Linked DNA regions of Daphnia pulex. The protein of the gene in region 2 purifies or fractionates together with the protein of the main gene of each other region. This does not show direct contact. Links are inferred from orthologs where the notes say so. Each region holds a gene or a part of one and is shown on either strand. Other genes may lie near its edges.

The links.
Region 1: the proteins of prefoldin subunit 2-like (region 2) and prefoldin subunit 4-like purify together in Homo sapiens (affinity purification with mass spectrometry; 6 studies listed by BioGRID and IntAct, counting the BioPlex papers as one, with this or other methods). This does not show direct contact. The link is inferred for Daphnia pulex from reciprocal best matches to the Homo sapiens genes PFDN2 and PFDN4.

What each region holds. Positions count from the first base shown.
Region 1 is NC_060022.1:3,650,389-3,656,224, reverse strand, and holds prefoldin subunit 4-like, read right to left. Parts: upstream 3,022-5,836; 5' UTR 2,908-3,021; coding exon 2,869-2,907; intron 2,787-2,868; coding exon 2,682-2,786; intron 2,517-2,681; coding exon 2,367-2,516; intron 2,316-2,366; coding exon 2,163-2,315; downstream 1-2,162. Other genes in the region: bromodomain-containing protein 4-like, read right to left, coding at 1-73. UniProt on the Homo sapiens protein: Binds specifically to cytosolic chaperonin (c-CPN) and transfers target proteins to it. Binds to nascent polypeptide chain and promotes folding in an environment in which there are many competing pathways for nonnative proteins.
Region 2 is NC_060024.1:9,270,304-9,275,922, forward strand, and holds prefoldin subunit 2-like, read right to left. Parts: upstream 2,829-5,619; 5' UTR 2,742-2,828; coding exon 2,584-2,741; intron 2,485-2,583; coding exon 2,361-2,484; intron 2,298-2,360; coding exon 2,115-2,297; 3' UTR 2,062-2,114; downstream 1-2,061. Other genes in the region: uncharacterized protein LOC124199325, read left to right, coding at 1-31, 92-607; aurora kinase-like, read left to right, coding at 3,299-3,366, 3,498-3,683, 3,765-3,899, 3,962-4,120, 4,198-4,371, 4,458-4,610, 4,688-4,727; uncharacterized protein LOC124200621, read right to left, coding at 4,975-4,984. UniProt on the Homo sapiens protein: Binds specifically to cytosolic chaperonin (c-CPN) and transfers target proteins to it. Binds to nascent polypeptide chain and promotes folding in an environment in which there are many competing pathways for nonnative proteins.

The sequences.
Region 1 (5,836 bases), on a different chromosome or scaffold from region 2:
CTTTGATAGTTTCGGACGAGATGGATTCAACGTCCGACTTATCCACCTTCTCGGAGATCGTAGAGACGATCATTTGTGAAATGTTCAATTGTTTCTTTGTTAACGAAAAAAGAGAAAAATGGGAGAAAGAATGAAGAGCGGCTTGAAACTCCAGTTGCCTGGAAGTTTGTGAAGTGGCAGCCAACAACCAGCCGAGCTTAAATAGGTTGCCTCAGACGAGAAGGGAGGAGGCGAAAGGGGGGCGGAGCTAGAGTAGTATTAACTTTTCCCCTAAAAATGAGCCGGGTGAAAAAAAAAAGAAGAGGAAAGAAAATTAAATTTAAAAAGTGGAATAGAGAAAGAAGTAGCTCGTGTAAGAAGTGCCAATACGCGGTGAGAATGTAGAAATTCAAAAATGGAAAACCCATCTTCGCCGGATACTGTCCAGTTTCTCAATTTGTTGGTCCACCCCAAAAAGATAAAAAAAAAAACGTCCCGCCACTACGGGTGTTTTATTCCGCTCCAAAAAATATAGCCGAGGTGAACTGGTATTCAATTTTGCCATGCGCTCGTTTTTCCTCGATCGTTTCCCATTTCTTCCGCAACACAACTCGATGTCTTTTTGTTTTTTTCGCTCGAGTTCATCGAACCACCTGATGATCCGCGACCAGTGTACCATTCGAACCTTTTCCAACATGCGGTGATTCCGTTGAATATTTCCCCAAATTCGATACTTTGCCAATTATTTGTCGGGTTTTCCTTCTACAATAAAACTGTAAACAAAAATTTATTAAATAAAAAAAGAAAATACAAACAACCAAAAATACAAGTTTCGTTTTACTGGCAACACGTGTCCTTGTTTTTGTTTGAAGCCAACAACCGCTCGGACGTCGTACATGTAGGAGGCAAGTCATGGCCAGCACGTATCGGTGTCAAGCGTTGCCACCTTGTTATTTCTTTTTTTCAAGTCCTTTGACACACAAGAAACTTACACAACACCAATCATACTCCCTCTTGGAAAAATACCCAGCAGCCTCGATTGTGTGATGGAAATATAAATCGGCCAAGTGGTGTGCTATTTCTCTGAAATTAAAAACACTTCACTTACCCTTGGAGATGATGACAGAAAGATGAGAGATATGGTGTAGAGTATCCACACCTTTTCCTGTCTGTTGTGTACATCGCAGCTCGGAAAACAAAGCAATAAAGGCATCTGGGGGCTCTTCTTTTTTTTAACTCTAGAAGAAAGAAAGTGAACGCAAAAGTGCCATACGCATCGTCGTTCCCCCCCCCTCTTTTTGAAATAACGTGAAGGTACCCTAAAAGTTTCTCATGATTCCCAAGTTGAAAATAGCTTATAACAAAAACGTGTACCAACGAACCTTGGCCTAGTTACAAGTTTTTCCTTCTCATTCTTTTTTCTTCAATTGCTTTTAGAAGCAGAGGAATATTCCGTCCTGTCCTGTAGATTCATTCGTTTCTTTTGTTTGTTTGCTTAAAAACTTCGTGTCTACCATCTGCAGCCGGAGGGGGGACGATGCGGGTTTTCCTCTCGACCAGGGGAAAAGTGAGCGGCGGCACGGTCATGACGTGACAAGCTTCGCAAACCCACCGTCGAACGGATGTAATGAGCACAATAACGGGAAGGGAGGACTTTATGAACGTGCACGATCCGGATGATGAAAAACCGGCCATGTGATGGACAGCCGAGAAAACTAAGTCACTGGGTCAGTCAAGTGACAATTTCCGATTGGTATTCTTCTGAACCTATTGGGTAGTATCAACGATAGTCCTCTCTGCAGGTCGTGTCCAAATGAGGTTAACACGGACGAATACATAAGCAATAACAATCGATTATTTTACGAGGTCGTGGAGCTCGAGACTGAGAGAGAAAGGCTGGAAAACCGTCCGGTGAATGGCCTCTACGAAACTAAAGAGGTACCGAGTGGTAGCCAGATGCAGAGGCGTCGTTGCGGAGGTGCAAGTCAAGCGTTACATTTTCTTCGCAGATATTTTTAGTGTTAGGGAAACTAGCTAAAAATACTTTCTTTAGCTTTGTTGTTTACTTTTCTCTTTGTGGCTTGAGAGACAATTTGTTTCTGTCAGTGCTATCAAAGACTGTTTTTTTCTTTTTTGTATTGTTCTTCATTATTATAGTGGAGAAAGCATTTTGGACGTTTTCTTTATTCCTCTTCGGCTTCTAGGTTGATAGAATTACCGAATTTGGCGTACAATTGCGTCTTCAGATCGCTCATCAAAGTCTTGATGTTTGTGCATTCAGCTTCGATGGCTTCAATATCTTTTTTCACTTTGTCTTTTGCTTCTTCAAGTTTCTCCTGTGATAAGTCAAACAATTAGCGATAAGCAGTACTTTAACAGCGATGCACAATTGACAGAAGAGGAAAAAAGAAAATCACCTTTGCCTCTTCCATGTTGAAATGAACAAACACTTCACCTACAACGAAAGGAATTGGAGCTGATTCATCATCAACCAAGAGTAAATCATCTGAAGCATCCTCCAAGTTTTGAAGATCTCCCTGAACAAAGCATAGAGAAAACGAGTAGCAATGCAGAATTGTAAGTTTCAACGTGAATCATGAGCAGAATGCGAAAATATTTCTGCCAGCACATTTATGACACATAATAATTTTGAAGACTTCACACACATTACGAAAAGAAGCATGCAATAGAAAGAATTTCACCTTTTTATTTTTCAGATCATCCCTGAGCTCCTCCCATTTTGCATTGTGTCGTGCAAACCGGTTGATTTTCTGTTGGTCTTCCAATGTAATGTGAATGTCAGAGTCCTAAAATAATTTCAGTTACTTTAACTACTAGAAATTGGCAACACGTTAAGCTATAAATTCTTAAGTCAAATCATTTTCTTACCGATTCAAGAGAATCTTTAGAAACTGCTACTGAGGCCATGATGTTTTTCTTGACAACCCCTACGTAGCAGACGACGCCTATTTATCGATTATTTCAATCGATAATGATATGCTGGTTGCCATTATTCAAATTACTATTCTTTTTAGGATTTTTATTTTACTGGATTTAACAAGCAATTTCTTTATGGCACATTTCGTTTTTATTACTTCAATACTACGGCATTATTACTTCAAGAAAAATCGTCTTTATCCCAGGTGCATTGACCACTGGGAAAGTGAAAGGGCTATTATATTCCCTATTAAGTAAGGCCTACACGGCTTTCATAATTGTTAGCTTGCTCCATAAAATGTGTTTGTGTAAATTCACGCGCTTAAAGAGAAATTTTCTTCGGGTTTCTATCTTATTATTACGATACTTACTAGAAAATTATAATGAATCCTGATGGGTTCTCGGATTTTCGAAAAAGATGTCAAGCAAAAACATGTTGCAATGCTCATGAAGAAAGTCGTGCACGTGAAAGTAATATTATGGAAATCTGAAAAAAAAAATGTAATAAATAACGAAGATGTCTTCTATTTGTTTTTGAGAGCTTTTCTTTTTACAATAAAAGCAATATGAACACGTCTAAGTAAGCGGTTTTCTTTGTGGCGAACTTGCCATATTATATGCAGTTGCCCTGCAGATCGATAGCAAAACAAACAGAACGCAATAGAGACGAAATAGTTTCACATGTTTTAACCAATCATATCAATCTCCCCTTTGTGCGTCAGAGCCCGCAATAACTGAGAAGACGAGTTTTATCAACTTATGGAACAACAACTGTTTGATTATTAAATATTTCCTGGCGAATTCCATCACGCTATACGATTCACGAAAGCCACTTGAAATGTACGTTTTAGACAGAAGGCATCCGTCCTCCTGTTTCGCTTCATTCACATATCTCAACGTGTTTCTCTGTCGTTTTTTTATAGACCTTTATGTTCACCGAACAATCGACAACAGCTGCAGAGGTGGGTTTTGCGCGTTGACAAGTAATTTCCTCATCAAAGTGTCGTTTACACTCGGTTGTGCGGTAGCCTGTTATACCAGCGCACTTTACTTAATGCGGTCAAGCAACCCGAGCGTCCCTCTCATCCGTAAAAACAGCCGTGAATACCGAGTTGCTTAACCTAGTTAGCGTCAGTGCGCAGTACGTACAAAGAAGAAGAAAGCGTGATAAATGGTCTTGTTAAAGAGTAGGACGTATTGTGGGTTCGTGTTGATACATTAATACCTCATTTCGCCGCCATTAGATCCGCACATCATTTCTAAAACGTTTCTACTTTCTGTGAATTCATTTAAATGATGAACTTTAACTTGGCAAATGCGTAATAAGTTGGGTAATTTAAAGCTCTTTGAAAATGATGCATAACTTTATTTTTATCAAAGTTTTTCAAATAGAATAAATATAAAGAAAAGGCTTTTTATGGCTGGTATATGCCAGCAGTGAAATGGGAGAAAGCCGCGCGAGATCCTTTTTTTTGTTTATGGCGTAAATCTAAATGGAGAAAACAAGACTGGTCTGACAAGAAGGAATTGACAGGAGGAAGATTTAAAGTTTCCAAGCTGACTTAATAGGATCCCCGAATAAAAAGAGAAAAGATATAATTACGCACATACACTTGAAGATATTGTGATTATGCAAATGTACAAGAGTATATGCTTGCTAATTAATAACCAGCGATTTAAGCCAGATAACCGCCAGCGCCCGCCAGTGTCTACCAAATCTAAAAAAAAAAAAAAAAAAATTTGATTGACGTAGTCTGAAAGCACATTAGACTCTATTTGAGAAAAAAATTCAAATAAAGTAGAGCGCAACTTTCACGTGGGTCAGTGATCCCGAGGCCTGGAGCTCTGACGAAATCCCTCCCGAGTTGGTATATTATTCCAGTTCAATCGGATCATAGCTGGCATTTGACATTTCATTTTAATAAAGAAACGGCTAATAATCGAGCACATTTGTTTAAAAAATAAACAAACATTTGGCTAGAAAATCGGCACTGGGTCGATAATACTTCAAAGTAGAACAAGAGCTCATTGGCATGAACGTCATTACTGATGCCACGATAAATTTTCGGGCGGATCAGAAAGCCTAAATCCAGATAGACCCCAAAGACTATTATGTGTGTATACGTGATACTGATGGATTGATGGCGATGTTAACACTTGGAGGAAGCATATATAAATAATAATCAAAAATCTGTTTCGCCATGAAAGGGCTACATGTATCCCGTGTGTGGAGGGTTTGAATCCGCAAAAAAAAAAAAACATATAGACCAAAGTTTGAATAGGGCGAATCAACAAAAGGCACTGGCGTAATCTTGATGGTCGTTTCCTTCTCATTTTCACGCACTCACTCGTCGTCGGTTTGATGATGAATAAACAGACTCTGGTGCTCGACTGTCGCACATATCAAAAGAAGAGGGGGGGAAAGCGCAAAACAAGCTTTTGTTGAGCCTTATCAAAGTCGGTACCACTCTCTTCTGCTTCCTCTTCTTCTTCAACCAGCAGCAGTAGCAGCAGCATAGATTTTCCATTTTCTCCCGTTTCCTTCCTTCTTCTTTAGTTTGTTTTTCTTTGCCTTTCTCTCCCCCTTTCTTGGGTGAACAAGCTTCTCTTCCCTCCATCCCTTTGTCGTTCTTCCTCACCCGAGAGATTCGGGAACCGATCGAAGATCCTTCCCCCTCCCCCTCCCTACTGCTCCTTATATATACGCCGCTGAGCCAATCAATCCCGCTCATGTTATAGCCTAGCCGCCCCTTCTGCTAACGGCAGCAGAAGAAGATGGAGAGAGACGAAAGGAGGTGGATGGAGGGGGGGAAATGTATAGAGACATGGATAAACGTAAGGAGCCGTTCTCCTTATACACACAAGGAGCCGAAGAAGAAGAAAAAAACAAACAATCAGCAACTCGTCTGCTGCTGCTCCT
Region 2 (5,619 bases):
CGCTGTGTCAACCAATCCTACCTACAATTCAGTAAGTTTCGCACTACAAATTTAAAATTAACAACAAAAAAAAACTGATCATTGTTTACAGGAGCAATTGGCTGCCTATGCATACTCGATGTCTGAACCTGAATATCTGTACATTGCGTTTAATGACGAAACAAGCGCATTTCGGGATGATTCAAATTACTATACATATTACTACAAGGGATTTTACGGACTTCTCTTGCTGGCGTGTCAAGATTATGACTTCGAACTTTACAGAGGGGTGAATTACACAGTTCCGGCCGAAGTGAATCAATACATTCGCTTCAATCGATTTTTGTCATCAAGTAAAAATTTGGAAATAGCTCAAAAATATGCTAACTCCTCTACGGGACAAGGGACGATATTTGTAATCCAAGGAACTAAACACGCTAATCACATTGCACCATACAGCACTGTCCCAGAAGACGAAGAGTACCTTATTTCCCAAGATGCGCAGTTCTTTGTAACAGATGTTGGAACAATGGTGTATCCTGATGGAAATGAGGCTATTCAAGTTACAATGTCTTTGGTCCCTTACACAACTGACAACAATATTTTTGTTGATTTGTCTAGAAAATAATCAAATTTCAAAAGGCAAACATTATTTCATTTAATCAACAGTTTTTAACATTAAATTGGCATATGTTAACATCTGAAATAAACAGCAGAAACAATATCTATCAAAATAAAATCCTCTTTGCGCTATGTCGTTTAGCAACACAACTTACCTCCTTTTCCAAACAATACTGAAGTGCCGTTAGTTTATACAAAGGTTCAGATTTTGTGGCATAATCTACCGAAACAACTTGTTCACGTACTTGTTTTCTAGTAACCAAGGATATTGATTTGTCCGTAACAACTTCAAATGTGAAGTGCTCAGACCGGCTAAGACCAGTTTCCTCACAAATGTTTCTGTTCTTCAAAATATTATTGCGTACCAATTGGAGGAAATCAAAGGAATAGCGACATGCTCATGCCCAATTCAGCTACGATTGTTTCCCCTCCTCCTATTGCCCTGATAGTTGACTGCTACAAATTCCATCGTTGCTTTTTACAACTTATAGACGGAGATTCACGATTGGCAAGCAACTAGCAAGTAGGGAAAGTAGAAGACCATCAAAATTTGAATAATTCCACAGAATTTGGGAACACGAATTATTTTTTAAAAATTACTTGATATTTTAAACAGTTAAATACGAGACACAAATCAACACACAATTTCTAGTGGATATAATTATCACTTGGATTTAAGTTTAAATTTACTACGAACGTTTTATGAAGATGTGTTTTGAAGTTACAGAAATCATTCTCATCCTTAGTGCTATTCGCAGAGAGGATAGGCTCACTCTAAAAGAAACGATGACTGTAAGAAGTTGTCTTGTTCACTAATTCAGTTTCTTTAAGAAAGTCCCGGTAAAAAAAAAAATAATAATAAAATCCTTGGTTGGCTGGCTTAATCTATTTAGATAGTAAGCCGCGAGCAGACAAAGAAAGAGAGCAAACTTACGATGAGAATTTAACCTGACATCGAGACCAATTCCCACACATCGTCGTCGAATCGTTTTGGTGTATACTGCATAAGTAGACTGTCTAGACCAACTTTTCACCTAGAAAATAAATTAAATATTTTGATCACCATTGTTTACTTATCTGTAAAACAAATTTTACGGAGAACTGCGCCAAAGCAATTTTGTGGGGAACACTTTTGACTTTTCAAATATTACACACAAACTAAACAGTTCGCAGCAGCAAAAATTATTGGTTTAAAATCCGGTGTGATCTCAAATCCATATGATTTTATAGCGTTGTCGCTCTTCGGAGAAACCAGAGATAAACTAAGTTATTGTGCATTCAATAGAAATCTAATAGAATAATTCCTGCTAGTAATTCATAAATACATCAAAAGTTAGAATAGCTAAGCTTCTTAAAAGCTTTCTTGGTAAATCACACAGATTGTTTAGTACTCTAACCTTCCATTAGGATAGTAGAGCAGATGAAAGTATTAGATTCATAAAAATAAGCAAAAGCAAAACATATGTTTTCTGATTTTTCTTCAGCAGCAGAGCATACAAAACAAGGTATATCAGTTAAGGTTTGGTGCCCACCAAAACCCCCTGATTGGCAACTTTATTTTCTCCTTCATTATCAGGAGCTGTAGATGGGAGTTCATTTTGATTTCGTATCCTGATATTATTCTTTTCCTTGAAGTCATTAATTTCTTGTCCCTTGGTGGAAATTTGATTATTGAGAACTTCAATTACTTTAGTCATCTATATAAAAAATAAATTGTAATTAAAATTACAACCAAATAATACAATATGAAAACAAGTTACCTGGTCCCTGTTTGATGTCAGTGCAGGCAGAACTTCTTTGACAGTTCGTTCAACTAGTACTCCACCAACCATGCGAAAGCACTTCCTGTCTTCATCCACATTTTGAAGGGTTTCTATTACTAGTCTGAGTAAGAAAAAAAATATGACATAGTTAATAGTAGGAGTAAATTATCCTCTACACGCTATGGAAGTCTGTTTATAAAGTGAAACCGGTAAAACTTACTTGTGCTCGTTTAGATCCATTTCGAGCTCAGATAATTTACTAGCTAGTTGTCTCTGTTCAGTTCGTAATCTTTGAAATCCTTGGATGACTTCTTCATTCGATTTGCTAACATTTTTCGGAGCATTTTTAGCTTGCTTTTTGCTTCCGTCAGTCGCCATTTTTTACGTATCAAAAGCACTAAGCAGCAGACAAACTTCAGGCTATTCTACTTCCTACCCTCCTAGTTCCTATTTGAGACTAGCGGTAGAATGTAGCGAAGTCGACGATCGACGATTGTCGAAATTGACTTAGGCCTATTTGCAGATTGCAGAGCACCGAGAACAATAATCGTCTTAATGATAATGAAATAATTTAATAATAAATTAGTCTTAGACACGAAGACGAAGTCTATAGAAAATCTGAGAAAAACGACAAACGGAGGAGGCGAAAATATTTCCATAATACCATCATACCGGCAACGCCGGTTGTTCTGCCGTTTGAATATTTTCCCATTTGTCCAAAACCGTCCAGTAGCAGCAGCACCGTAGTAGACCACGGTTTAGGGTTTTAGAGTTTAGAAGTTTAGACATTGGTATACAGGTATATACAATTACAACACATTTTGAAAATTTAGACCAATCTAAACGTTTTTTACGAAAATGTAAGTGAATAAGTAAGTTTGAACTTCGTGTTTTTGTAAATGTTTCATGTTTTGATTTTGAAATTGACAGATAACATGGAAACCAAGCAGCCACTTAAAGAGAACTCTTCAAACCAACCTACTGTTAAGTTGGAAAACTCAAAGTATGTTAGAATTTTTTGTTTTTCAGAATCCAACAAAGTGTTTCTCATTTATCTTCTTGACTTAAATATTTTAATTGTGGCATTAATCTTCCAAATCATGTGTGTTTCTCTGCTTGTTTGTTTCAACCCAGATGGAGTCTTGATAACTTCGAAATTGGCCGTCCTCTTGGTAAAGGGAAGTTTGGAAATGTGTACTTGGCTAGAGAAATCAATACCAAATACATTGTAGCCCTGAAGGTTTTGTTTAAATCTCAACTACAAAAATGTCAGATGGAACACCAGTTGAGACGTGAAATTGAAATCCAGTCACATTTACGGTACATACTAATGAGATCACATGTTTTATGGAAAATTTATATCACTAATGCACATCAACCTTTTCTGCGACTCTACTGTAGACATCCCAATGTTTTACGCATGCACGGATATTTTTATGATGAAACTCGTATTTACCTCATCTTGGAATTCGCCGCAAATGGAGAAATGTACAAGTACCTGAAACGCCAACCCAATGGCCGTTTTTCTGAACCACAGTAAATTTTTTAAAATAACAGAAACATAAGTTCTGTGGAAAATAATTTACCCCTATTTTTAGGACGGCCAATTACATGGCTCAGCTAGCTGATGCATTGATATACTGTCACGCGCGGAAAGTAATCCACCGAGATATTAAGCCAGAAAATCTTTTACTAGGATTTCATGGAGAAATTAAAATAGCCGATTTTGGTTGGTCCGTCCATGCTCCTTCGTCTAGGTAAAGTAAAATATGATTGTTTAGTGTAGAACCAAACAAATCGAAGTTATTTATGTTATATTGTTTTTGTTCAATAGGCGTACAACCATGTGCGGGACATTGGATTATTTAGCCCCCGAAATGGTAGAAGGGCGCTCTCACGACGAACGTGTAGATTTGTGGACTCTTGGTATTCTTTGCTACGAATTCTTAGTGGGATCACCTCCTTTTGAAGAGGAAAAGCAAGATCTCACTTACCGCCGTATTTGCAAGTATTAATTTTATCGCATAATTTGCCAATGTGGTTAAGAGGCATTCTAAGCGTTTACATTTTCCATGCCATAAATTCGTATTGTAGAGTTGACTTGAAATTTCCAGCACATCTCTCTACTGGAGCGAAAGACTTGATTGCTAAATTACTCAAACCACGAGCAGAAGATCGTATCCCTCTACGAAAATTACTTGAACATAGCTGGATTCTACAGCACCTTTCAGACGAAGTTCGATCCAGGTATGATTTTTTTTTTATTTCATTTTAACACTCGTCCTCAAATATATTTGTGACACATTACGTGTGTATTTCATCAGGTTACCGACTTTCCAGATAATGCAACCCAACAAAGCATAAACTTTGATATTTAATGGAACCATACATTTTTAAAGTAAAATTTTCAATTTGTAACTTTGATTCCCGATTGCCTTTATCTCTTCTCTCATTTATGTAATACAATAAATACTTTTCATAAATGCTGCTCGCACGTAAGTTATTAATGGCTAAGTTTATCATTCACATTATTACATCAAATATTATGCAAATTTGTACTAAGTTCGCCAGTCATCCTTTACATCCAATTCTTTCTCTATTCTGTTTCCAGTTACATCATCCTAGTAAATGTTAAAGGATGTAATTTTAATAAGAATTTGAATTATCCACTATAGAAAAAATTCACAATTGAAATTTATTTAATTATTTTAAAATGACATTTATTTTTTAAGCATCTAAAATTAGCTGCTAACGACGAAAGTAAGTTTTATTCATTGAATGAGTTCAAGAAAATCCCTAATTGAAAATTACCCGTCAAGTTAACTACAATGAATAAAAAAACTAGATTTTCAATAGAGCATCAGTCGTGAATCCCTTTCTAACTGGCAGTAATGATTAGATTTGTAATAAATTATGAGTGAGAATCCATTTTATTATAGCACAATAAACTACGCGGTAGGTACAACACCAGATAAATATTAAACATTCAAACAATAGATTTTACGAAGAATACTTCAAATAGTTGAGAAAAAACAGAATATGCTTCAAAGCACAACTGAGAAAGGACAAAGCTTAGTAATATATATGAAGGAGCAGACGTGGTTGTGGTTTAGTAGGTTGGCTCAGAGTAGTACTTCGGGGCTGCGGTGTAATAAACCGGAGCGGCAGCTGTGGTGGTGTAGTAAGTTGGCTCAGCGTAGTATTTGGGGGCCTCGGTGTAGTAAACTGGGGCAGCAGTAGTAGTGGTGTAGTAAGT